Linked DNA regions of Xenopus tropicalis. The protein of the gene in region 1 binds, or shares a complex with, the protein of each later gene. Links are inferred from orthologs where the notes say so. Each region holds a gene or a part of one and is shown in the gene's direction. Other genes may lie near its edges.

Region 1 (4,245 bases):
AAAGATATTCCACCAAGGACTTCCATGACCATAACTTTATACAGGTCATGAAACGCCAAGGTGACTTTTAATATCCTCATTTTATAGCATTGTGTGCATTATTTATTATAATACAGAAGATTTGATGAGTCGTGATAAAAATTACATCACTAAACACCGATTACAACTGATGACCATTTACAAGGCTATAATTTACAATAAATTCATGGCTCTTGTTTATTATATGTGTATATATATATATATATATATATATATATATATATATATATAAATCTAGTGAATATTGGTGCACACCGGGAATCATTTTAAAAAAATAGCTTTTATTGTAGTAAATACAATACAGGACAGGCCTGTCCTGTAAATGTATTTTCTACAATAAAAGCTATTTTTTTTTTAAATGATTCCCGGTGTGCACCAATATTCACTAAATTTTTATTTTTAATGTTTAAGTGGTAGCACCTGGGTCTTTTGACCATGCTTAGGAGTGCTGAATCAAAGTGTATATATATATATATATATATATATATATAGTGATTTTTTGCACTACAGTTGCATTTAAAATAAAGTTACATGTACAGGTATGGGATCCCTTATACGGAATCCCGTTATTCAGAAAGTTCCAAATTAAGGAAAGTCCATAGACTCCATTATAAGCAAATAACTCTAATTTAAAAAAAAATGATTTCCTTTTTCCCTGTAATAATAAAACAGTACTTTGTACTTGATCCCAATTATGATTTAATTAATCCTTACTGGAGGCAAAACAAGCCTATTGGGTTTATTCAATATTTAAATGATTTTTTGCAGACTAAAGTTATGGAGATCCAAATTACAGAAAGATCCCTTATACAGGGCTACCCCAGGGGAACCTTGTAGCTAATGCCTTGTCCAGGGTTCCCATGCACCAACTGGCGCAGCAGCAATCAACATGAAACAGGATGCAGGCAGTGGCTATAAAGCACAACTGTACAGAAATGCAAGGAGCACCTTTTGACTTAACTACATTTAATGAATGGGGGTTTTAAATGCAACACACAGTAATATTTGTGGAAGCACACAATGACCCATTAGGTAGAAGCAAAGAAACTGGGGTAAAGTAAGAATTGGATTTTTGGGTGTTGCTATTTTCCCTTTCAGATATTAGGCCCACACTGGCAATCTGTAGATTCTGGCAAATGCCAGAGGGGCTTCTGTAAGATGCCATAGTCACTCACTATTTATTGGGCTGTTTGGGTCTCTGTGTGCTTGAAATGCCAGGGCCACCTTGTGAATATCAAATAATTATTTCCTATAAACCACATCACCTTTTAATATTTTCCACGTTCACAGCTTTCCCTTAAAAAATATGGCGCACCGTGAGTTCGCACGCCGCCATTCTGCGGCCCTCGTCTTGCGCATGCGCACAACATACCCTATTTGTCGCATTTGCTTTGTGTGGAGGGATACCTTGCGGTTATCCTGTAAACACGCTCTCAGCGTTAGTCGGTATTTGGATGTTGCCGAAAATATTATGCTACACTAAGAGATCATTTTTATGTTATAATTGAAGTAAAACGTCCAGACGGATCATCTGGAAAGCCGCTCCTAAAATCGCGGATTGATACGTCGAACTACTTTTCGAGGAAAGCGTTCCGATATTACCACCCGGCGCCATTTCACAGGCAAGACTGACAGGCCGCTGCAGAAACCGAATATCGACACTCCACCACCGACATGGCGGCATCTGTGGGCAGTGTGGCTGATAGCACAGGTAGGATTTTTTTTTACAATTTAGACGTTATATACCAAAGCCAGATGGGCCTTGTATCAGTGGCTCCGGTAACGTGTGAGTGGGGGTCAGTGATAACAAAGCAGTTCTGAGGGCGCAGCCTGCATAGCCAGAGTGTTAGCAGCCAATGGCAACTGTACGTGTGTAGATCTTTGGCCAGTCCTTAGGATAGCTTTAGGTAGTTGTTGGAACACTACAGCCCCCATTTAAGGTGATGTTTGGGATGCAGGGAGAGTAGTTCTGCAACAACTAGACCTCTGAAGGTTGCATGTTGCTGGCTTGGATTACCTACCCATAGAAGCAGTGTTTAGCCCATATCCTTAGACGTTTATAACAGTAATTCTACTAACAGCAACAATGGGCTTTCTGCCAAACAGCCTAATCGTTGTTATACATTCATTTATGAGATATTTATTATCCCATTATAACATAAAATACACTTGTACTATAGCAGGCTGCATAGTTCAATAGTCTCTAAATACTGAGTTGCCATACATTATAGGCTATAGATAGATTTGTATGTATAGACACCTGGCAGGGAAGACTGGGTTAAGGAACAGTAACACCTAAAAATGAACGTGTTTTAAACTAATAAATAATGTACTATTGCCATGCACTGCTAACACTGGCCTGGTTGGTTTAAAAACCCTACTATAGTTTATATAAATACCCTGCTGTATAGCCATGGGGGCAGCCATTCAAGCTGGAAAAAAGGAGAAAGGGCACAGGTTACATAGCAGATAACAGATATGCTCTGTAGAATACAATGGTGTTTTATCTGTTATATGCTATGTGCCTGTGCCTTTCCATTTCTTTTTCCAGCTTGAACTGCTGCCCCCATGGCTACACAGCAACATAACTATAGAAATTATAATAGGGTTTCTTAAGCAAACATACAACTTTTACCAGTGCAGGGCAACAGTACATTATGTTTTTATTACTTTGATACATTTTCATTTCTTAGCGTTAAGGTTTCTTTAAGGCTTTGTATGTGAAAAGGTGGCCAGGTTAATGGAACAGTTAGGCACACTTCTTGGATAGTAAGATTTCTTTCACTGTTGCTATGACAGAGGGAACATGTTTGCCCCAAAACCTTGCGTGACATGGCGAGATGTGAATTGGGCACACTGAGAAAAAAGTGATGCCATTGATAATGCAAGTGTGACCTCTGTGAGAGAATATGGTGGGGGCACGGGACATGATAGTGAGAGAAAAGATGTATCATGCTGTTGATTATATTTGTATGTCCCTGTAGTTGCGTATGACCTGCCAGGATAAGTATTGGGACCACTGGGGCTGTGACAGTAAGAGGAAAAAGACAATATATTCTGGATAACACGTTTATTCTTATAGTTGTTTCTGTTCTGACAGTATGAGTATTGGATCACTGGAGGTTTGGCAGTAAGAGGAAAAATACATCATGCCATTGGTAACACTTGTATGTCCCTGTAGTTGCGTATGACCTTCCAAGATGAGTATGGGAACCATTGGGCTGTGACAGTAAGAGGCAATAGACATTGTCATTGATAAAGCAATATGTGTCTTCATGTAACCTGGCAAGATGAGTATTGGGGGGCACTGGAGCTATGGCAGTGCTGAAACATACGTCATACTAGGAATACATTGTGTCCCCATAACTGTGTGTCACTACTAGGGTGAGTATTGGGGGCTCTGGTGTTATGGCAGTAAGAGAAAATACACATTATGCCATTGATTACGTGTATGTGTAGAGCTGGGCGGTATGACCAAAAATTTATATGACGGTATTTTTTTTTTTTTTTCCATGCATGATTAGGTGTTACCCCATTTCCTAATAAATTAGAGAATAATTACTGCAGTATTGAAAATCAGAGTCAGGCAAGCGAAGGATCGGCAACAGAAAGTCGTAAGGTAAATCAGGCAGGCTTAGTTTCCCAGGCAAGGCCGCAGACAACATAGCACAGGAGGAGGCGTTTGATAGCTTTAAATACCCCCCACGCATGCGCAGAACCGGCGCCATCAGCGCCTTGCGGACGTGCACGCTTTGACATGTACGTGCGCGCTTTGACATGTACGTGCGCTTTGACGCACGCGCACCGTCCCGCGGACAACGGGACGCGCGCGAGACCGGGAAGCACGGGTGTTTACCCTGACACCCCGGTATTGCGGTATCTGAAAAATGAATATAGTTTAAAAAAAAAAAAAAACAACCGGTATTCGGTATTAAACGGTATATCGCCCAGCCCTATGTATGTGTTCTTTTATCTGCATGCGACATGGCAGGGTGTGTGTTGTGCTCACTGGAGATTTGGCAGTAAAGAGAAAAACATCATATAGGGATAACAATGTTCCTGTAGTTGTGTATACTGGGGGCACTGGAGCTACAATAGCGAGGAAACATATTGCACTAGGAATAACAAATTGGTGCCCTTTTAACAGTTGTATGAGTTGGGTTTTTTTGTTGTGATTATGTTATTTGTTCAATTTTAACTTCTGCT
Region 2 (3,500 bases), on another chromosome or scaffold:
TGTCCTGTCTGAGCTGCTATTAAATCCCCAGACAGACTGTCGAACCCCCAGCCATGCAGCACAAGGGTCACATGATTCCATGGATATCCACAGCAGGGGAACATAAAGGCAGGTGGGGGGATGATACAAGATCCTGGGGCCCTAAGATTGTTGCACAATTACAGCTTTCATCCCACCCAACCCAAGCCCGCACTAGGAAAATATAAATGCATTCATCACCTCTTAAAAACCATCCCATGCTGTGTGCACCATTAGGAGTATGGCATTATTGGTTGTGCCCTACTAAGCTGCCTGACTATATGTATATTTCAATCCCAACCTGGATTTTGTTGTGGAATGGCCACTGCTGTGTGTGGAAAGTTCCGTAGTAGTGCGGACTGATGTGGATGATTAAATACTCTGTAACGGGCAGGGTCATGTGTTAAATGAGTAATAATACTTTTTCATGGTTATATTTAAAGGGCAAGTAAAGCCATCCTACAATAAGGCGTGTTCTGGGATGTGCTGGCAAAATTTTACCAGGTCCCAGCACAGAGGAGCTGTATATGTTTCAGGGCTCCTATTCCGCCTTTCTTACAAACATTACCTGATCCCCATCCAGTCAGTGTTACTGGGCAGGACATTTTACTCCTGCATTTAGTTAAGGTCTCAAAGGTTTATTATAGGGGCAGTTAGCTTTGCAATTTATTTATTATTTTAATTTGGCCATACACAGGCCAATAAAAGATGCTGACCTGTCCATTCTGACCAAGATGGCAGCCTATAGGCCCATGAAAAATAGGCCTCTGCTTTTGGTGCGTAGCCCCCACCGACAGGACAAGTGGATAAACAGCTGCTTCCATGCACTCAGATGTTTTGCTGCATTGAACTTCCCTCCCACATACAGACTGCTTTTACCAAGGGATCTGGGTGACTGCAGGTTCATTGTGGAGGATTGGTTACTACATAGTGACTCGCCAAACGCCTTCCTTCTGCTTAATATATAGCAATTCCAAAGCCATTCTGCCCACCCTCCCTTTCAATTTCTTATAAAAGAGTCAAACCCATTTAGGGAAGTGGTGCATGAGGCTATTTGCACTGGTTTTCTGCTTGGTGGGTAGGTGGCAGAATACTAGGAATTGCCTCTCCATTGATGGTTATAGTACCCTGCTGGTGCGCTTGCAGATCAGGTGATTACCATACATAAGCCAGCATTTTGCCACTGAGTGAGTGTGCAAGAAGCAAAATATTAGGAATAGCCCAAAACAATTAGAAAGTGATTAATTTTTGCGGGGCAAACAACCTTGGCCTTCTGTCCTTTTGTTTGCATTATGTTACATTAACTGGGCACATACCAATCCATGTATAGTTACTCAGAATACTTTTCTGGGCAATTTTGTGTTATTGTATTAGCAGTTTTTCACTGTTGATATCATGAGCCCCCTGCCCTTGTGTTCTGGTGGATGCAAGACAGAAAGGCAAAAAGCTTTAATTTACTTGTGCAAGATGCATCTCCTGACACTTCTCTGCTAGTTTCTGTTGCTCCTGTCACATTGAGTGTAGAGCGCCTGTTGGCATTACTTGCTCCTTTATATTATAACCAAAACACCACTAGAAAGGGAAGAGCCAGTTAAGTCACAATAGACCCACCCCTAGTACCTTTCTGAATGGTTTGGCCTGGGGGCTGAATTGTGTATGTGCCGTGTTGGCTGGGTGTGACCAACTAGGTCTTGTCATAGCCTGTAACCCAGAGAGATGCCATAGAGCTGTGCCACCCTTGGTACCTCCTGCACAGAGCACAATACTGCGGATAAGCGCTCTGTTGGTGACCCTAATATAGCAGTAAATACCAGCTGCCAACTCAACTGGCCAGCATTTTACTGGAACAGTCATAACTTTTATTCCTTGTTAATTAGGATAATGGTTAAGGGAGTCATGGGACAATTAAATACGATCTCCCATCATTTTATTTGTGTGCAGGAAGCGCCGGTGTGAATGGAGCTGGGCCCAGGAGCGTGCGGATGTGGTGAGTCGATGGAACTGGCTGCAAGCTCATGTCTCCGACCTGGAGTACAGGATTCGCCAGCATACAGATTTCTACCGACAGCTCCGTTCAGGGAAGGTAAGGAACCAGGGAGGTGATATAGGGCTGGTTTCTTCTAAATGCCCCATGCACAGTGAATCTGCTATTAACATATGGCCTGTCTGTTTGTCCCTAGGGGCAAGTGGTCCTGGGGGAGGCATGTCCTTCCGAAACAGCTGGGGAGCCTCTGCGCTCTTCCCTTCTGGACTCAAGAACGTCCTCTTCTCCTTCACCAGATGCAGAGAGGCGGGTGAGTTGTGGTTCTGTGAGGAGCAGCATATTTGAGGAGTGGATTTGGGGGTGGGTATAAAAATGAAGCTACTATCGTTTTGTGCACATGGTGGCTATTTGCTTGTATTTTGCTGCAGGAAAGGGCAGACTTCCCTCCTGTAAATAAGCGTGCAGATGTCTTAACCACAGTCAGTTGGGGGTTAATGTCATAGCTAATGTCATGTGATTGTCTCTTTTGTGTGGATTTAATTCCCTGCGTCTGTTTCTTGTTCTCTAGCGCCCCCTGCTGTTGACACGTGTATGCAGCCATGCACCACGTGAATAAAAATAAGCATGTTAGTCCTGCACACTTGGCTCATTTCAGGGCACCAAACAATAAACATGGCTTAATTTTTTTTCTTGTTAACAAGGACGTCAACTTTTTGTGCTTCTTCATAGGCTGATTCCAGCACCACAGAAGCCAAGTCCTTGCAAAGACCGATTAATGGGATTGTTAACATGTAAGTAGTAGTATCTTTTTTGTATTTTCTTATTGTATGGATTTTATATAAATTAATATAATACATACACACATACATGTTTCAATAAGGAAAAAGGAAGAAATCTAAAAGCATGAAGGACCGATCTATGTTTCTTAACTCACAAGTAAGAAGGTTAATAGTGAAGCATTTAAAAATTGCAAATCAGAGGGGCAGACATTTCTTTTAGGACCGATAAATACTACAAGTGTTGTAAAACACCAATGAAGAAGGGAAAAATAGAAAATGAGGAAGAGATTGCTTCACGTCCATGGACTAGTTCCAAAAATGTATAAATTATGTGAGTTGAGATTGTTGCAGATTATGCATGGTTTGCAGAACATTTTGGAGGGCTCCTGTCTCCCCTTAGTCTTAGCCTTAGTTATTTCATTGGCGTGTGTTTATCGGCACAGTCAGCTGAATGAGCAGCCCCAGGTGGTAAACTGCTTTGATAGCAAGGAAGCCTGCCTAAACCATAGCAGGGTGGGGGATATTAGTTTCACATGCCCCTGTTGGAGAGGTGAATCCGGCAAAGGCTACCAAATTCTTCATATGCAGGTTTTAATGCTGTTACTATAAGGTTTTATTTGTATATGGAAGCATTTCAGGCTCCTGGCAGTATCTGTATTGAAATGTGATGTTTGGCATTCTTTTATTTCACCCTGCGTATTTCTCTTTTTTTCTCCACT
Region 3 (4,074 bases), about 36 Mb from region 1:
CCCCCCATACCTTTATATCTCTCTCTCATACCCCCACAGATACCCCAGTACCCCCCTTACCTTTATATAGCCTCTCTCATGCCCCCAGCTACCCCAATAGCCCCCATACCTTTCCTATATATCCTCTCTCATGCCCCCAGCTACCCCAATAGCCCCCATACCTTCCTTTATATCCTTTCTCAAACACCCCAGTTACCCCCATACCTTTATATATCCTCTCTCATATCCTCAGCTACCCCAATAGCCCCCATACCTTTATATCTCTCTCATACACCCACAGCTACCCCAATAGCCCCCATACCTTTCCTTTACATCCCCTCTCATACCCCCCAGCTACCCCAATAGCCCCCATACCTTTATATCTCCTCTCTCATACCCCTACAGATACCCCAATAGCCGCCATACCTTTATATAGCCTCTCTCATACCCCCACAGATACCCCAATAGCCCCCATACCTTTATATAGCCTCTCTCATACTCCCACAGATACCCCAATAGCCCCCATAACCTTTATATCTCCTCTCTCATACACCCACAGCTACCCCAATAGCCCCAATACCTTTCCTTTATATCCTCTCTCATACCCTCAGCTACCCCAATACCCCCCATACCTTTCCTTTATATCATCTCTCATACCCTCAGCTACCCCAATAGCCCCAATACCTTTCCTTTATATCCTCTCTCATACCCCCAGTTACCCCCATACCCCCCCATACCTTTATATATGCTCTCTCATACACCCACAGCTACCCCAATACCCCCCATACCTTTCCTTTACATCCTCTCTCATACCCTCAGCTACCCCAATAGCCCCCATACCTTTCCTTTATATTCTCTCTCATACCCCCAGCTACCCCAATAGCCCCCATACCATGATATATCCTCCCTCATACCCCCACGGATAGCCCCCATACCAATATAGATACTCTTTTATACCCCCACAGCCAGACCAATAGCCCCCATACCTTTATATATCCTCTTTTTTTAACCCCACAGCCACACCAATAGCCCCCCATACCATTATATCCCAAACAGCCACGCCCCCTCAGAAAGGTCTCCCTATTGGCCACAATGTTTCCCCAAAAAATCTACAGCCCCACTACTGCCTGTACTGTTACACAATGCTCACACGTGCACAATAGGAGAACCCCATACCACATATAAATACATTATTCTGGAAAGGCTTCTGGTACAAATAGTAGTAAATAAGTAATAAATATTGCTAATTATGTCCTTTTCTTTGTTTACAAACACCTAGCCTGCATAGTGGGAGTGGCCATCTGCTAACTCAAGGGGCCCCATTCCAGTTCTTGCACCATGGCAACAGAAGAAAAGAAACCCGAAACTGAAGCTTCCAAGACGCAATCCACCCCATCCTCGTCCAATAATCAGAGCAAGGTTGGTATTCTTCTACATGTGGAGCGGCCAAGATGCTTCCAGTAAGGCTTTGGGTGTTACTTTTGTGTGAAATCCAGCAGTTATGGATCATTAATCCTGCTTATAAAGGGTAATGTTAAAGGGGAAATATATCCGCCTCTGGCTTTTTAAATATACCCTTAATATAAAGGGCCTCTTATAGGTGGGTAGTGTAGTAGGGTTATAGGATCCAAAGGGTTACATATTCTTTTCCTACTTAAATATACATCTTAGAAAATTAACTTTTAGTAAGAGGTCCCAAGAATTGGCCATTCTGTAACATACTAAAAGTTAAAGGGGATGTCAACCCAAGATAAAATATTGACTAAAGAAAATGTATTTTCAAGCAACTTCCCAATATCCATTCATTCCCCATTCTCACTGGGTTTATAGTTATGTGTAACTGTCACTGTGTCTGTCCCTTTCCCTTCCCTGCACTGCTGGTTCTGACTCCTGATACAACTCCCCAATACCCATTCATTCCTCATTCTCACTGGGTTTATAGTTATGTGTAACTGTCACTGTGTCTGTCCCTTTCCCTTCCCTGCACTGCTGGTTCTGACTCCTGATACAACTCCCCAATATCCATTCATTCCTCATTCTCACTGGGTTTATAGTTATGTGTAACTGTCACTGTGTCTGTCCCTTTCCCTTCCCTGCACTGCTGGTTCTGACTCCTGATACAACTCCCCAATATCCATTCATCCCTCATTCTCACTGGGTTTATAGTTATGTGTAACTGTCACTGTGTCTGTCCCTTTCCCTTCTCTGCACTGCTGGTTCTGACTCCTGATACAACTCCCCAATATCCATTCATCCCTCATTCTCACTGGGTTTAATAGTTATGTGTAACTGTCACTGTGTCTGTCCCTTTCCCTTCTCTGCACTGCTGGTTCTGACTCCTGATACAACTCCCCAATATCCATTCATTCCTCATTCTCACTGGGTTTATAGTTATGTGTAACTGTCACTGTGTCTGTCCCTTTCCCTTCCCTGCACTGCTGGTTCTGACTCCTGATACAACTCCCCAATACCCATTCATCCCTCATTCTCACTGGGTTTATAGTTATGTGTAACTGTCACTGTGTCTGTCCCTTTCCCTTCCCTGCACTGCTGGTTCTGACTCCTGATACAACTCCCCAATATCCATTCATTCCTCATTCTCACTGGGGTTTATAGTTATGTGTAACTGTCACTGTGTCTGTCCCTTTCCCTTCCCTGCACTGCTGGTTCTGACTCCTGATACAACTCCCCAATATCCATTCATCCCTCATTCTCACTGGGTTTATAGTTATGTGTAACTGTCACTGTGTCTGTCCCTTTCCCTTCTCTGCACTGCTGGTTCTGACTCCTGATACAACTCCCCAATATCCATTCATTCCTCATTCATATACTGAAATATGGCAGTAGATCCTCACCCAGGGTTGGGAGTTTTATGAATTTAAGTTGAATTGTTTCTGGTTTCTCATGAATACGTTCGACTCAACCAACTTTTGGGTACTTTCCAATACGCGGCTCTGATGTTTGTAGAGAGATGAAATATAGGGGGTGGGTGCTGAATGTGACAAATTTCAGGTTTGTGCAGCGGTTACATACAACATGGCTGCCTGCCCTGGGGGCTCCCTGTCACTGTAGGGGGCTGTTTTTTATTTTAAAACTATTGTTTCCCCCAACTCTCTGCCTCAATGTCTGCAAAATACATTTCTGAAATCCCCATTTTTCTCTTCTATTCATAGCCTGCACCAGTAAAGCCAAATTACACGCTAAAGTTCACCCTCGCCGGACACACCAAGGCCGTATCATCTGTAAAATTCAGCCCGAACGGGGAGTGGCTCGCCAGTTCATGTAAGTGACATTCCACCTATCGTTATGTCTTTGCCCTAAAGAAACTACAGTGTCACTTTTTTGTTCTTTTCAGCGGCCGACAAGTTAATCAAAATATGGGGGGCGTACGACGGCAAGTTTGAAAAAACCATATCCGGCCACAAGTTGGTAAGAACCTTTTGTTGTTATTGCTCGCGTCTAGCCGGTGTTGAATTCCTGTAGCACCATATATTTAAATTCCACCAGCGTCTGCTTCGTGTAACATTAAACCCATACTGTTTTGCACCTTATCCCCCCAGCGCCGTGCAGCAGAAGCCAATTAGAGTTTGCATTTGCCAGACACCTCCCCAGGGGCCTCCCTAATTTATAGACGGGCTTGGGGATTTCATGTGTTTTAATTTGGCACTGGTTAAGAAATATAAACCCCCTTAATCAAATCCGATTAGTGAAACTTTTATTTATTTATTCTTTTTATTTTTATATTCAGGGAATATCTGATGTCGCCTGGTCCTCTGACTCCAACCTCCTGGTTTCTGCTTCTGACGATAAAACTCTAAAAATCTGGGACGTGAGCTCGGTGAGGCCTGATTGACTTACCGTTGGGAAGAATATGTTTTTGTGTTTCTTCATTGAGGGGTAAAATGATAACACAGGATACATTCCCTATTTCTCTTACATCATGGGGGACACAGGAACAGCCTAATTGCCTCGTTAATCCAGTGGGCAAACGTGGCCTTGGTAGTAGGCAGAGCCTCTCTAGAGGCTAGGCCTAACCTCCTGTCCACTTAAAAAGCTGAGCCCTGTTGGCTAAGCAAAAGGGTTAAAGAAAAGAGG
Region 4 (3,500 bases), on another chromosome or scaffold:
ATATCCAATGTAACCCAGCCGGTCCCCCATAAATATCCAATATATCCCAGCCGGTCCCCCATAAATATCCAATGTAACCCAGCCGGTCCCCCATAAATATCCAATATATCCCAGCCGGTCCCCCATAAATATCCAATGTAACCCAGCCGGTCCCCCATAAATATCCAATATATCCCAGCCGGTCCCCCATAAATATCCAATGTAACCCAGCCGGTCCCCCATAAATATCCAATGTATCCCAGCCGGTCCCCCATAAATATCCAATGTAACCCAGCCGGTCCCCCATAAATATCCAATATATCCCAGCCGGTCCCCCATAAATATCCAATGTAACCCAGCCGGTCCCCCATAAATATCCAATGTATCCCAGCCGGTCCCCCATAAATATCCAATGTAACCCAGCCGGTCCCCCATAAATATCCAATATATCCCAGCCGGTCCCCCATAAATATCCAATGTAACCCAGCCGGTCCCCCATAAATATCCAATATATCCCAGCCGGTCCCCCATAAATATCCAATGTAACCCAGCCGGTCCCCCATAAATATCCAATGTATCCCAGCCGGTCCCCCATAAATATCCAATGTAACCCAGCCGGTCCCCCATAAATATCCAATATATCCCAGCCGGTCCCCCATAAACAATCAATATATCCCAGCCGATCTCCCATAAATATCCAATGTAACCCAGCCGGTCCCCCATAAATATCCAATATATCCCAGCCGGTCCCCCATAAACAATCAATATATCCCAGCTGGTCCCCCATAAATATCCAATATATCCCAGCCGGTCCCCCATAAATATCCAATGTAACCCAGCCGATCCCCCATAAATATCCAATGTAACCCAGCCGATCTCCCATAAATATCCAATGTAACCCAGCCGGTCCCCCATAAATATCCAATGTATCCCAGCCGGTCCCCCATAAATATCCAATGTAACCCAGCCGATCCCCCATAAATATCCCATGTAACCCAGCCGGTCTCCCATAAATATCCAATGTAACCCAGCCGATCCCCCATAAATATCCAATGTATCCCAGCCGGTCTCCCATAAATATCCAATGTATCCCAGCCGGTCCCCCATAAATATCCAATGTATCCCAGCCGGTCCCCCATAAATATCCAATGTAACCCAGCCGATCTCCCATAAATATCCAATGTATCCCAGCCGGTCCCCCATAAATATCCAATGTATCCCAGCCGGTCCCCCATAAATATCCAATGTAACCCAGCCGGTCCCCCATAAATATCCAATGTATCCCAGCCGGTCCCCCATAAATATCCAATGTATCCCAGCCGATCTCCTATAAATATCCAATGTATCCCAGCCGGTCCCCCATAAACAATCAATATATCCCAGCTGGTCCCCCATAAATATCCAATATATCCCAGCCAGTCCCCCATAAATATCCAATGTAACCCAGCCGATCCCCCATAAATATCCAAAGTATCCCAGCCGGTCCCCCATAAATATCCAATGTATCCCAGCCGGTCCCACATAAATATCCAATGTATCCCAGCCGGTCCCCCATAAATATCCAATGTATTCCAGTCGGTCCCCCATAAATATCCAATGTAACCCAGCCGGTCCCCCATAAATATCCAATATATCCCAGCCGGTCCCCCATAAATATCCAATGTATCCCAGCCGGTCCCCCATAAATATCCAATGTAACCCAGCCGGTCCCCCATAAATATCCAATGTATCCCAGCCGGTCCCCCATAAATATCCAATGTATCCCAGCCGGTCCCCCATAAATATCCAATGTATCCCAGCCGGTCCCCCATAAATATCCAATGTATCCCAGCCGGTCCCCCATAAACAATCAATATATCCCAGCCAGTCCCCCATAAACAATCAATATATCCCAGCCGGTCCCCCATAATTAATCAACATATCCCAGCCGGTCCCCCATAAACAATCAATATATCCCAGCCGGTCCCCCATAAACAATCAATATATCCCAGCCAGTCCCCCATAAACAATCAATATATCCCAGCCGGTCCCCCATAAACAATCAATATATCCCAGCCAGTCCCCCATAAACAATCAATATATCCCAGCCAGTCCCCCATAAACAATCAATATATCCCAGCCGGTCCCCCATAATTAATCAACATATCCCAGCCGGTCCCCCATAAACAATCAATATATCCCAGCCGGTCCCCCATAATTAATCAACATATCCCAGCCGGTCCCCCATAAACAATCAATATATCCCAGCCGGTCCCCCATAAACAATCAATATATCCCAGCCAGTCCCCCATAAACAATCAATATATCCCAGCCGGTCCCCCATAATTAATCAACATATCCCAGCCGGTCCCCCATAATTAATGAATATACCCCCGCCGGTTGCCCATATACAGTATATTATGGCACGATAGCTTTCATTCTCCTTCTCTTCTGTTCTACACAATAAATCATGTCACGTGGGTCATTAAACTGCCAGCCCATTGGCCGAACCTCCCTACTCATTTTCATGGAAAGAATCTCCTATTCCCTTCTCAGTATTGATAATTACATGAAATTGAATGTTCTTCTCTTTTCATGATTTGTGTAAAAACAAAGTAAATTGTATGTATACACTGCTACACAATGAACCCGGCTGCCTTTGATATTTACAGTGGTATTCGTGGCATCCCCTGTGCTTGCCAATTAGACCTGGATATTGACGTGGCTTCACGGGAGGGTAAGAATGATAATAACAGTGGAGGGCAGTTGGCAGCTCAGTTGTCCCGAATGCCATTCATAGTCAATGCATTCACTTGAGGCCAATGTTACAGATAGGCTTCATCTTTTGGTGGAAAACAAGCTGCCTCAGGGGGCAGTTATCCTTGCCCTGGGCAAGGTAGCAATAGTAGAGACACACTAGGGTGACCCCTGCGAGAATCAATACTAATATTATTACTGGAATGGAATGGAAACACTCAATCTCCATAGAGCTTATCCGTTAGTGGTTGGGGGCTATGAGATGGTTCCTCCCATCTGTTGACAATGAAGTCTTCAGCAATGTTCCAGCAATGTAACACTGGGTAAACAAACAGGAGTGTAAGGAGTAAGGCAATTACTCTAATGCTACAGTAGGTTGTTGAGTTTTGCTTTAAGATCAGCCGCCCCTGATACAATTCTTTTCTTTTCCTATAACAGAAGAGCTGGTTGATGAGAGGCCCCTGGAGTTGTTGGTGAGAAGGAGTCGAAATGGAAATGTCGAGCAGCTCAATCTTGTCAACGGAGTTCCCATGGGCCACATCCGCCGCTGCCAGTGATATCTCTTCCAAACATCCCGCAGAGAATGAGGGGGTCTCCCCACAAGCTGTATTCCTAAAGGCTCTCACTGTCCCGCTTTATCAGTTGGCCCAGCAAGGGAACATTCAGCCGTCGTTCCAGCTGGCAACTGGTGGCCAAGGCTTATCAGTGGACAGTTCCAATGTCTCCTTGATAATAAACCCACATACGCCAACGGTCACCCAAAATTCCCCAGCCCCTACTCTCAC
Region 5 (3,500 bases), on another chromosome or scaffold:
TCATGTACCCACATCACTTAATTCCTAGCAGAGGGCAGAAACTATTATATATATATGCACCCCGCAGAATATTGAGCCTTGGAGTGCGGACACCATTTGGATTGATATATATATATGTGTGTGTTTGTTGAGACTTTTGGATGAAGAAGTGCTGATGTATGCAAGTTTAGTTCTGGCGATATTGGATGTTTACATTATCCTTATATGTAGTACATTATTCCCCACATGAATGGCATATATTTTGGGCAATATCCTTCCACTGGCCCACTGCCTCGAACACCTGGAAAAGCACTACAACTGCCTATATGTTAAATTAACACTTCCCTTGTTTAACTGGCCTGTTATTGGCCAAATATGACTGTGACGCTGATTGCCCCAGATTAAGATGTAGGATTTTAGCTTGGATTTAAAGGTGAATTTGTGGCAGGGACATTAATTCCAGCATGAGTAGGCTGTCTAAAACAAACAATAGTACCTGCCTGCTCCCCAGTCTTTTGCATACCTAAAAGTGGGTGGCACAAGCAGGTGGAGAGCAGGTAGGATTGCCTCCTTCCGACGGAGCGAATCCCGGGGACATGGTGGGTGATGGCAGGGGCGGAGTCAAGCCACTGTCAAGCTAAGAGTCCTGGCAGGGATTCTAGGCAGGGAATTTTGACCCAGATAGTCCTCCCAAAAACTGTGCTGTCTGGGTCAAAACCGTAGGTGGCAACCCTAACAACAGGGGACGTGAACAGGGCTAGCAGCTGGCTAAGGAGGGAGGGGCTGGTTGCAGGTACGCAGGTTTTTTATTGGGTGGACCTGACATGACATAGTTATGCCACAAAAATATCAAAAGCAGCAGAGAAATTACTTTGGGGGGACATGGAAAATGGAGGTTATTAGCAAATGCATTACTGTCTCAAATGAGCAGCACAGACACCAGATTCAAAATGAATACAAAACAATATGGTTGTCAAGGTAATAATAATATAGGCCCATATATGGCCTGCTTAACATTCCCAGATGTCATAAAGAAGGTTGTGACCAGAAAGCCTAGAGCAAAACCAGATTAGAAAGAATACAACTGTAAGCAAAGTCAGTAATACCTTTATAAAATCAATGGGAAATGAAAATAATAGAACTTAGTTAAATACAAAGGTGAAAAAATCAAGGTGTAGTGTCCTTTAAAGGAGAACTAAAGCTTAACTAAAGAAATAGGCTAAAAATGTTGTACATTATTAAGTCACCCACAGCCCTTTAGCAGGGAAGATCCATGCCCCCAGTAGCTCCTCATCTGATTCCCTGCACATGCTCTGTGCTGTCAGTTACTGAGCTTAGGGACCAACTCAAAATATACTGAAAATATAAATGTAACAGTATAAGGCTGATTAGTGATTCATTTGGATTCACATAACATGGCAGCTCTGAAACCAGTGCAATTAGCATCGGATTTTAATAATCAAACCTGTAGCATCAGTTTATATGACAGAACAGCCTCATTTTCTGCTTGATAATTTGTAAGGACCCTAAGCTTAACTTCTCAACAGCTGCCCTGAGCACACTGAGCACGTGCACTGTCCCAAACAGAATCCAAGATAAGGAGCTCCTGTGACAACTGTAAAGACCTATATCATTACTGCTACAGAGATGCTGAAACTTTTGGCCAGTGCAGTCAGTTTAGCATATAAAATATGGCATTTCTAGCCATATTCATTTTTAGGATCTAAGAAGATTGCCAGTGGGAGATAAGCAAGGTTATTTATGTGGGTAGTGGATTCGTCATCATGTTGTTAATTCTTCTGTCATTTTCCCTGATGCCGTGGTAGTGACACTAATACTTGTGTAATGCCTACATGTCTGAGCAGTGAATATTCCCCTCCAGTTTTGCTTGCATGATTTCATCTCATATGACAATGTATGTGCTAGGTCATACAAAGGGATTTTCAGCACACACTGGTGTTGCATGCTTGTATTCAAGTTCAGTTGGCTTGCTTCACATTACATACAATAGGCTTGTCCTTCCATTCACTGATCCACTCTTTTCTCTTCCTGTTTAGCACAGCCATATCCAAGCCTATTACTGCAGAGCCAGAGATCCATGGCTGCCAGCCATTAGATGGTGTCACTGGATTTTTGGTCCTTATGTCAGAAGGACTTTACAAGGCTCTGGAGTCAGCCCACGGGCCTGGACAAGCCAACCAGGTACCATTTTGCTTTGTTCTTTCTTGTCCTTTCCATATTAATGTGTTATAAACACATACAGGTATGGGATCTATTATCTGGAATGCTTGGGACCTGAGGTTTTCCAGATAAGGGGTCGTTCCCAAAACTGCTTGATAAGGAGAACTTAAACCCTTAAAATAAATATGGCTAGAAATGCCATATTTTATATGCTTATTGAATCAGCCGAATGGTTTTACATCTCCATATTATTAACGATCGAGGCCTTTAAAGTTGTCAAAGATTCACCCTATCTTGGATTCTGTTAGGAGGGTCTGTTACGCTGCACATACTCTGTAAACTCTAGTTTAGGGATCAAGCAGAAAATGAGTTTTGCCTGTCTGAGATGCTGATGCTATGGGGCTGATTATTACATTCTGGTGCTAATTCCACTGGTTTTACAGCTGCCGCTTAATGAAAATCTGAATTAATTACTATTCAGCTTTGTATTGTGACGTTTATATTCTATGTATATATACATAGAGGAAGAGTACAGTCAGTACTCGAAACGTTGGATTTTTTTCAATAAATTTTTTCACTTTATTGCCAAGTCCTTGTGTGTGCGGCTCTCTGTCCCTAAGCTCGGTAAATGACCGCAGCCCAGAGCATGTGCAGTGGATCAGCAGAAAAGAAGATGGGAGGCTACTGGCGGGCATCTTTGGGGGCACAGATCTTCCCTGCTAAAGGGCTGTGGTTGCTTTGGGCTGGTTTAGAAGCCCAAAACATAATGTTCAACATCTCTCGTCAGGCTTTAGTTCTCCTGTACAAATGAAATAGACCCAAATATGATTGTTTTGCCACCAGTATGAATTCATGCAGCTAAAGCTGGCCATACACGCACCGATAATATCGTACAAAACCTCGTTTTGTACGATATTCGGCCCGTGAATGGCAACTCAGCGAGGCGATCGATATCGCAGGAGGCTGCTGATGTCTGTCGTCTCGCCGATCAGGCAGGTTAGAAGATTTTGATCGGGTGCCATAGAAGGCACCTGAGCAAAATCTGCCTTCAGGGCTGAATCGTCAGGTGGAGGTAGAAATCCTATTGTTTCTATTTCCATATCTGACGATTCAGCCCTGAACGTCAGTGGAGGGTTGGAACGATCTTTCGTGCGACCGATGGTCACACAAAGGATCGAAAATCACCACGTGTGTAGCCAGCTTTTGTTACCATCAACTACAAAGTACTGTTAATTATTACAGAAAAAAAGAGATCATTTATTAAAATGGACTTTATTGGAAGTGACCTTTCTGTAATTTGGAGCTTTTGGGATAATGGCTTTGTAGATAAGGCATTCCAT
Region 6 (4,197 bases), on another chromosome or scaffold:
CCCCCCAGCCCAATAGTGACTGTCTATGGCACCTTACAGCAACCCCTCTGGCATTTGCCTGAACCCACAGATTGCCAGTCTGGGCCTGGGCCCTGGCATTCCAAGTACCCAGAGGCCCAAACAGCCCCCCCAGCCCAATAAATAGTGACTGTCTGTGGCATCTTACAGCAGCCCCTCTGGCATTTGCCTGAACCCACAGATTGCCAGTCTGGGCCTGGGCCCTGGCATTCCAAGTACCCAGAGGCCCAAACAGCCCCCCCAGCCCAATAAATAGTGACTGGCTGTGGCACCTTACAGCAGCCCCTCTGGCATTTGCCTGAACCCACAGATTGCCAGTCTGGGCCTGGGTCCTGGCATTCCAAGTACCCAGAGGCCCAAACATCCCCCCCTCCCCCAGCCCAATAAATAGTGACTGTCTATGGCATCTTACAGCAACCCCTCTGGCATTTGCCTGAACCCACAGATTGCCAGTCTGGGCCTGGGTCCTGGCATTCCCAGTACCCAGAGGCCCAAACAGCCCCCCCAGCCCAATAAATAGTGAGTGACTATGGCATCTTACAGCAGCCCCTCTGGCATTTGCCTGAACCCACAGATTGCCAGTCTGGGCCTGGGTCCTGGCATTCCCAGTACCCAGAGGCCCAAACAGCCCCCCCCCCAGCCCAATAAATAGTGACTGTCTATGGCATCTTACAGCAGCCCCTCTGGCATTTGCCTGAACCCACAGATTGCCAGTCTGGGCCTGGGTCCTGGCATTCCAAGTACCCAGAGGCCCAAACAGCCCCCCCAGCCCAATAAATAGTGACTGTCTATGGCACCTTACAGCAGCCCCTCTGGCATTTGCCTGAACCCACAGATTGCCAGTCTGGGCCTGAAAACCCAAATCCTTTTCTAATTCTTAATTCACACCCCCAATCAAATTAAAAGTAAAATACAAAATAAAGCACCTGGTGAGACTCAGCACCTGCATGCCAGGATTTATTGTAAGGCTGTGGGCTGGTAAGGTGCAGTATAACAGCTGGAGGGCCATTGGTTGGTCGTGACTGACGTAACCAGCAAAGCACCTAACAATTGTCACACAGTAAATAGCCTTTCTGCTAGAGGCCTTTGCTACTGGGTGGCCATGACGTGCTCACACCTAAAACACAACCCAGACTAAATCATATCCACGCATTTTTCTTGTTCCTTCAGACATTGCGCCTGTCACAAAGTTTACAGTGAGTCAGCACATCACTTCCCTCATGCGCCACAGCCAATTCTTTCTCAGGAAGGTCTGGGGCGGAGCGCACAGAAAAACCGCGCCAAACTCATTCATCAGCTGACCGCGCTGACCAATCCCTGCCCCGCTATTTTCCTGGCGGGGCGGGCGGGGAAAATCGAATTCCCCGCCCAGAACGCGGGTACGCGCCCCGTTGTACAGCCGTCCCCTTCTCTTCTGTAGGTGCGCGTCCGTGTCATTAAGTGTTATGGGGCGGGGGCGCGCCTTGCCATGCCGCGCAGTGTGAAAAAAGAAGGAGGCGGTGGTGGTGCCTGTTCTTGTGAGGGAGGATAATGATTTATATGTGACTGGAAGAGCTCACTGACACACCGGGAGGTGGAAAGGTTGAAAGTCGGAGGGAAATTACTAAGGAAAAGCGAAGAGAAGCCAAGGAGTGACAGAGCTCAGGTACTGCGTGCTCTATCCTGCTGCTGCTGCTGCTGACAGGGGCGGGATGCTGGGGCTGCCGGTTGCTGGGTAGAACAATGGTCACATGGGCGGGGCGCTCATTCCCTGTACTTGTGATGCAGGTGGGGGGGCGCCTCCGGGACTCTCCGCCATTACTTTATGTATTTTTTTAAGGTTTTGGGGGTGAAGAGAAAGGTTGCTGAGTGGGGAAGGCAGGCCTGCAGCGGCCGGTCTTTTCCCTGCCTGATAATGATGGAGCGGTAAGGGAACCAATTACGTGCGTAGAATAGCTTGACAGACGGCTGCTTGAACCAATGAGCGCGGAGGGGCGGTACTTGCCATGCTTTCTGAAGTCCCTTTAAAAGACGCTGCTGTCTAAAGGAAACGCGGTCGAAACGTTGTGCCATGTGGAGATACGGTCTTCCGTTATCTTATATAAAGAAGATGGAATGACCAGGGCTTTAGGGTGCCTAGGATCCCCAGCTTTTCAGGGGGACCCCATCTGGGGGAAAAATACGAATTTATTGAAATTGTTGGATATAGGTACAGTGCAATTCAGCAACGTTTTAATATATATTTTGTATCATCTCATTATTCTTCAAACAGCCTGGCTTAGTTGGAGTGCTGGGAGTTGCAGTTCATCTAGTTGTAGGATCACATGGTGGCTATCCCAGAACTCTATTACTCCCTCTTACCCATAGGATGGGGTCCCAGCCTTCCTACTATGTGAAGGGTTAACATATCTGGCCCCTTGATGGTAAATGCTACTCCTATATAAAACTGTCCCTTTAAATCAGTGCTTATGGGATTTTGCTGCACTGAATACAAATCAGTGGGCAGGGGAAGCCGAGCCATGTTGTGTGGCTGTGTGACGCAACCTGTTGGTGAACTTTGTAAACATCGGTCATTTCCAGGATTCAAACCCACCCAGAGGATGCGCAGCCAATCTGGGCCACGCACAGCTGTCTGTAGGGGGGTACAGATAGGGGCAGCCAAACCGCTGTCCGTAGAGCAGAACTTGGATGAGGACGGCTAAGAAAAAGTCCATTATAACAATGTTAGTCATCTCTTTTCTGAGACAGGGAATATGCTGTGACTGGGGGGCTGGAGCCCTGGGGTCTAGATTTCCATTCCTGCAGGAACCAACCTGCTAGGAGTCTGTATGATTTACCTACGTCTGTAGGTTTTCTGCTGCGCTCAGTAGTAACACACAGGTTAATTGGCTTGCAAGGGAATTGACCTCAAGGAACTTCAGTGGGGCAATAACCAATGTAGTAGATATTGAACAATCCCAATATAAAGCTTGGTTTAACAGCTCAACATGATAGCAATAAAGTAAAGATGCACCAGCTGTGGTTGAACTTCAACAGTTTATGTGAGTGTATAGATTGGTAGGTGTGGGTTGGGTGTGCTGGGTTTACTTGGATGGGTTGAACTTGATGGACACTGGTCTTTTTTCAACCCTATGTAACTATGTAACTCACAGCATCAGTGACTGTTAGGTAGTTATAGTTCAGCAACAGAGACACAACTGCAGTTCAGCACCAATGACCTTTTGCTGTTGGGATGCTGGGGATTTTAGAAGGTTTGAATCAAGGCTGTGTCTTAGCAAGATCCGGGGAGCTGCAAATTGTACATACCCCAAGGGCAGGTTATAGGAAGAATTGTGGTGTTTTTAGTGGGTTTGAGGAGTATTTATAATTATTATTAACATTTATTTATAAAGCGCCAACATATCCCGCAGCGCTGTACAATAAGTGGGTTACATACATTGGACATACAGAGCAACATATAAAGCAATCAATAACCGATACAAGAGGTGAAGAGAGCCCTTGGGGCAAGAGGTTGTCTGGCTTTGGGTGCTGAAACCCTGCGGGGTCTGTAATGGGTTGCAGAAGTGAAAAGGAGTTATTGCTTTAAATAATAGTAGGTATTTTGCTTGTGTAGTTTATATGCACACGTGGTTCTGCTCTATTAGATATTTACCATAAGGAAAGGCAGACTTTATTCTTTTTACGCCCTTAAATCTGTGGTTTGAATGGTTTTGTTCTTTATTTTACGTTATTGATGTCACTGTCCGAGAGAAAAAATAACTACTGGAAATGGGTCAGAAAACTCACAGTATAGATAAAAATATGGCTAAACGGATATTTTCCAGCCCTTTTAAAGTTACAGTAGAATTTAAAGTGATGTTCCTTTTTTGACAAACACAACAGTGATTGTAATCTCACATGTGTCACCCGGGTCACATGCGTCTCCTTAATCTCCTATGAGTCTTTTGTGCAGACGTTCTTATAGATGCAGTTCACCTTCCACACACAATCAGACCCTAGGCCTGTGCAAATATCTTGGAACATTACTAGATACAATTTGAGTCTAGGTGTGCTTTATTGATATATTTTTTGTTTAGCTGCTGTCTGTGACCAGTATCCCTGCACATACATCTGTCAACCCAACCCCATGTATAAAGGTGGGTATACACGAACCCATTCCGGCAGCTTATCGGCCTGTGTATGGGCACGGACGGCTTGCCA
Region 7 (3,992 bases), on another chromosome or scaffold:
ATTTACAAAGCATTCCCCCATGAAAGAGATCAATGGAATGAAATCTGGGAATCTCTTAATGCCCTGACCAACCTAGGCCATGTGCTGAGCAGAAGTCCCACTGTAAATAAGTATTTAAATATACTATATACTGTAGTATATATTTTTTCACAAATATGTTTCCTTTTTAGCCAAATAGGGATCAGATGTGCTGGTTGCAGCAGATATTGTTGGCAACCAGGACAAAAGTGTAGTTCCCAGTTGGGGCTTGGTCCAAAGGCACCATGAGCAAGAGGCTGAGGGTTGTATCATTCACAACTAGGAAAAAAAAACTTTTTGTTTCCAGTCACAAGTCAGTACTTTCTGCAGATAACAAAATTAATTTTACTTTTCGTTAAACATTGAGTGCAGAGACTGCAAACAACTAGAAAAAGTGATAACCTTCTTGTGCAGATATATATGACTTGATACAATGTTGGGCACAGCTGCTCCAGCAGCAGTAGTTATTGGGCTATTACCCACACTCATCAAGAATAAAACAAAGTCGGATTTTTGTTCCCCAACACAATTAAAGGGGTGGTTAACTTTTAGCATGTTATATAATCACCTATTCTAAGTAACTTTTCGTTGGTCTTCGTTATTTATTTGTAATAGTTTTTAATATATTTGCCTTTGCAGCTTTCAAATAGAGGACACTGACCCCGGCAGCCTCTCCTATTCATATATCAGTCTCTCATCCAAACCACCCCCTGGTTGCTACGTTAACATGGACCCTAGCAACCAAATAACTGCTTACAATTCCAAACTGGTGAGCTCCTGAACTGAAAATGAAATAACTTAAAAACTACAAATAATAAAAAATGAAGACCAATTGTACATTGTGTGAATATGACTCTCCGATCCATAGTTAACTCAAAGGTCAACGACCCCTTCAACAGTGGGCTGAGACACAACTGCATAGTCGCAGCTACATTTCAGGAACAGAGGCGCTATCGCCTGCCGTCAAACAAGACAACCAACTCGAAAAGTCTTTTTCATGTTCCTTTACAAAAACCGAGGCCGCAAGCAAAGATACAACCCTCACAGTCAACAGCAGCTGACCCTAAATGGCTACCACCTCTTACTAACTTGTACACTGAAGCGCTCCACCCATTCGCGTCACTCACTCACGCAAGGCTCCTACGTATTGCGGCACTCTCTCACGCAAGGCTCCTACGTACGCGTCACTGCGTTATTACGTGAGTTCGTGACGTCTCGCGAGATGAGACTTGAGATGTCGGGATTCGCTGTTCGGCAGAGGCTGAGGTGCGGAGCGTTTTAGCAGCGATCCGGGCTGCGGGTTGTGTGAAGCGGCACTGTTGGGCGGTATGCATGTATGTTACACAGCCGTACTTCAGCTCGCACAGGGCTTAGGGTGCGGAGAGCATACGCCTCGGCCCCTCACAATTTTAGGGGCGTCACCGTGGAAACAAGTAATCATATAATAGATGTGTGTCCTGTACACATCAGGGATGTACAAGTTGTAGCCTTCCGCCTTTTGTTTATCTGCAGCTCTCTGCATCTCCTATAGATAGTTAGCTCTCAGGATCAGGGCCCTCTTTACCTCCTGTGTTTGAATGTATGGTGTATTCACTCTGCTGTTGTACAGAGCTTGCCACCTTATACATCCATGTTAGTAATGATAGCTGTGCTGATGCAGAGTGTTGCATTGCCTATGAACTCCATGACATTTTGCCCTGCATGTTGGTTGCCCAACCATCCTGGGGCCCCCTCAGTGCACATTTGTCCCCAGTGACACTTTCTGTCATATTCATAATGTAAGAGGGAGCTTAATTAGTAGGTTTGTATTTTCCCATTGTATTGTTGCCTCATTTTCTGACATCACGTCATGACATGGGCAGATTTAGGGTGAAGACACACGGCTACTAGTAGCAGCTACTTGTCATGGCTACAGAACTAGACAGTGCTGATCTTTTACAGGGTATTTTTTTGGTGATTAGTAGCTGTAACAAGTAACTGCTACTGAGTAGCTCTGTGTGTCCTTGCCCTTAAAGGAACAGTAACACCAAAAAATGAAAGTGTATAAAAGTAATTACAATATAATGTACTGTTGCCCTGCATTGCTACAACTGGTGTGTTTGCCTCAGAAAGACTACTATAGTTTATATAAGTAAGCTGCTGTGTAGCCATGGGGGCAGCCATTCAAAGGAGAAAAGGCACAGGTTACTTAGCAGATAACAGATAAACCCTCATTATATGGGGCTTATCTACTAGTTATCTGCTATGTAACCTGTGCCTTTTCTCCTTTTTTCCAGCTTGAATGGCTGCCCCCATGGCTACACAGCAGCTTATTTATATAGTAGCTTTTCTGTAGCAAAAAACACCATTTTTTTGCTGGGCAGCAGTACATTATATTTTAATTACTTTAAAGGAGAAGGAAAGGCTAAGTCACTTGGGGGTGCCAAAATGTTAGGCACCCCCAAGTGACTTAGAACGCCTACCTTGTACCCCGGGCTGGTGCCCCTGTACGGAGAGAACAGCACCAGCCCGGGGTAGCTGCCGGCGCTTCCTCCTTCCTCCTCGCTGCGCGCGCATGCGCAGTAGAGTGAAAAGCCGAACTTAAACATTAAAGTCGGCTTTTCACTCTACTGCGCATGCGCCGGCCGGCGGATTTCGCCGGCAGCGCGCAAAGGAAGGAGGAAGCGGTGTCTACAGGTGCCCCGGGCTGGTGCTGTTCCCTCCGTACAGGGGCACCAGCCTGGGGTACAAGGTAGGCGCTCTAAGTCACTTGGGGGTGCCTAACATTTTGGCACCCCCAAGTGACTTAGCCTTTCCTTCTCCTTTAAAACACTTAAATTTTTTGATGTTACTGTTCCTTTAAGCATCTTACCTGCCTGTTTATGGGCCCACCCTGGCTGATTACCTGATGAAAATTGGGCAGATACTTATCAAGCAGGTTTGAAAATATTGGCAGGCAGGGGCTGGCATTGGTGTGTTCATGCGGTCTTCTCCTGACACTATAGGCACCTATTATGATCCATTCATTAGCCCAGAGACTAAACAATTGGATCAGCCCAATTTGGCCCAGAACGTAGGTGGTCAAATTGGGCAACAATAGAATCGTTTGGCAAAAGTCCAGATCTTAATGTGTATAGTTAGCAGGGAAGACCATAAGAATTTTTTTTCTGATTGTACAAATATTTAAATATTATCTTACGTATTTATCAACACAACTTTGTCAGTATTCATGTTCAAGCTGATGTGAAGGGGTAAGTAGTTTACCTTTAAATTAAAGGGCATTTATCATAGTAAAGTTTCTACCTTCACTGGTGGTGCTGTCTGGTAGAGCTTGCAGTCAGTTCTTTGTTGAGCAATATGCCGTCTGCCCCGGAGGGAGCTCCCAGTATGGGTGGATACATTGGGGCACACGTGCTCATTATGAGTGTGTGCCCCAGTTGGCTCACTGTATGCATGCGTGTGGTGTAGGATAAGGGGGACGAAATCACCAATCCTGTGTCACAGGTTTTCCTCTTCTGACATTGTCTAGCTTTCATTGGGGTCCTGTTTTGTCTACAGTTGTATTATTTATTATTGTCTTTCTATTCAGGTCCTCTTCTTTTAATCTTCCTGTGTTTTATTAACACCAGCTTGTTTGCTACCATCCCTTTAATAACAATTTTGTTTATTGTACTGAAGGATTAAGAGTTGTGTGTGTATTTGTGTAAGGGCTTTTACAGGTGGGGTTTTCTGTATGTTTGAGACAAAGGTTTAATCGCACCTTCTTGTTTTAACACGTTAAAATATAATTGGGAAATGTATATTTATCTAGAAAAGCTACAAATTGGATGGGTGAAGTTAAGTGCCAGAAGCACATGACATGCTTCAGGCTATTTTTTGGGGGAAATGGGTCCTCTAAGGTCCCTGTAACACAGGTCTGGGCTAGGACCCAAAACAGGCCCTGGTATTTCAAGTACACAGAGGCCCAAAAAGCCCCTCACCAGCCCAATAAATAG

The links.
Region 2: ogt (region 1) and kansl1 share a complex: the UniProt entries of both Homo sapiens proteins name them as parts of the NSL complex. The link is inferred for Xenopus tropicalis from reciprocal best matches to the Homo sapiens genes OGT and KANSL1.
Region 3: ogt (region 1) and wdr5 share a complex: the UniProt entries of both Homo sapiens proteins name them as parts of the NSL complex. The link is inferred for Xenopus tropicalis from reciprocal best matches to the Homo sapiens genes OGT and WDR5.
Region 4: the proteins of ogt (region 1) and znf831 are in contact, whole or in part, in a crystal structure (PDB 8FUF), measured with the Homo sapiens proteins. The link is inferred for Xenopus tropicalis from reciprocal best matches to the Homo sapiens genes OGT and ZNF831. Residues at the interface, in NP_858058.1 of Homo sapiens: Phe723, Ile734, Met779, Ile787, Ile790, Asn791, Arg792, Gly793, Leu808, Ala809, Thr831, Arg832, Ser833, Gln834, Tyr835, Gly836, Leu837, Pro838, Glu839, Arg877; in NP_001371283.1 of Homo sapiens: Phe937, Ser938, Pro939, Lys940, Tyr941, Leu942, Leu943, Arg944, Leu945, Pro946.
Region 5: the proteins of ogt (region 1) and tab1 are in contact, whole or in part, in a crystal structure (PDB 4AY6), measured with the Homo sapiens proteins. The link is inferred for Xenopus tropicalis from reciprocal best matches to the Homo sapiens genes OGT and TAB1. Residues at the interface, in NP_858058.1 of Homo sapiens: Asp441, His506, His508, His509, Asn567, His568, Pro569, Gly641, Tyr642, Thr643, Lys644, Ala646, Gln849, Phe878, Pro904, Val905, Ala906, Pro907; in NP_006107.1 of Homo sapiens: Pro389, Val390, Val392, Pro393, Tyr394, Ser396, Ala397, Gln398, Ser399.
Region 6: ogt (region 1) and phf20 share a complex: the UniProt entries of both Homo sapiens proteins name them as parts of the NSL complex. The link is inferred for Xenopus tropicalis from reciprocal best matches to the Homo sapiens genes OGT and PHF20.
Region 7: ogt (region 1) and kansl3 share a complex: the UniProt entries of both Homo sapiens proteins name them as parts of the NSL complex. The link is inferred for Xenopus tropicalis from reciprocal best matches to the Homo sapiens genes OGT and KANSL3.

The regions. Positions count from the first base shown.
Region 1 is NC_030684.2:44,085,390-44,089,634, reverse strand, and holds the start of ogt (UDP-N-acetylglucosamine--peptide N-acetylglucosaminyltransferase 110 kDa subunit), read left to right. Parts: upstream 1-1,445; 5' UTR 1,446-1,713; coding exon 1,714-1,750; intron 1,751-4,245. UniProt on the Homo sapiens protein: Catalyzes the transfer of a single N-acetylglucosamine from UDP-GlcNAc to a serine or threonine residue in cytoplasmic and nuclear proteins resulting in their modification with a beta-linked N-acetylglucosamine (O-GlcNAc).
Region 2 is NC_030686.2:17,274,763-17,278,262, reverse strand, and holds part of kansl1 (KAT8 regulatory NSL complex subunit 1), read left to right. Parts: intron 1-1,959; coding exon 1,960-2,101; intron 2,102-2,198; coding exon 2,199-2,312; intron 2,313-2,731; coding exon 2,732-2,793; intron 2,794-3,500. UniProt on the Homo sapiens protein: Non-catalytic component of the NSL histone acetyltransferase complex, a multiprotein complex that mediates histone H4 acetylation at 'Lys-5'- and 'Lys-8' (H4K5ac and H4K8ac) at transcription start sites and promotes transcription initiation.
Region 3 is NC_030684.2:8,199,565-8,203,638, reverse strand, and holds the start of wdr5 (WD repeat-containing protein 5), read left to right. Parts: upstream 1-1,274; 5' UTR 1,275-1,317; coding exon 1,318-1,398; intron 1,399-3,152; coding exon 3,153-3,261; intron 3,262-3,334; coding exon 3,335-3,408; intron 3,409-3,727; coding exon 3,728-3,817; intron 3,818-4,074.
Region 4 is NC_030686.2:3,178,641-3,182,140, forward strand, and holds part of znf831 (zinc finger protein 831), read left to right. Parts: intron 1-3,153; 5' UTR 3,154-3,204; coding exon 3,205-3,500.
Region 5 is NC_030680.2:120,893,810-120,897,309, forward strand, and holds part of tab1 (TGF-beta-activated kinase 1 and MAP3K7-binding protein 1), read left to right. Parts: intron 1-2,036; coding exon 2,037-2,181; intron 2,182-3,500. UniProt on the Homo sapiens protein: Key adapter protein that plays an essential role in JNK and NF-kappa-B activation and proinflammatory cytokines production in response to stimulation with TLRs and cytokines.
Region 6 is NC_030686.2:42,973,796-42,977,992, forward strand, and holds the start of phf20 (PHD finger protein 20), read left to right. Parts: upstream 1-1,397; 5' UTR 1,398-1,663; intron 1,664-4,197. UniProt on the Homo sapiens protein: Methyllysine-binding protein, component of the MOF histone acetyltransferase protein complex.
Region 7 is NC_030679.2:125,205,363-125,209,354, reverse strand, and holds the start of kansl3 (KAT8 regulatory NSL complex subunit 3), read left to right. Parts: upstream 1-1,192; 5' UTR 1,193-1,284; exon of another isoform or gene 1,285-1,352; intron 1,353-1,365; exon of another isoform or gene 1,366-1,451; intron 1,452-3,992. UniProt on the Homo sapiens protein: Non-catalytic component of the NSL histone acetyltransferase complex, a multiprotein complex that mediates histone H4 acetylation at 'Lys-5'- and 'Lys-8' (H4K5ac and H4K8ac) at transcription start sites and promotes transcription initiation.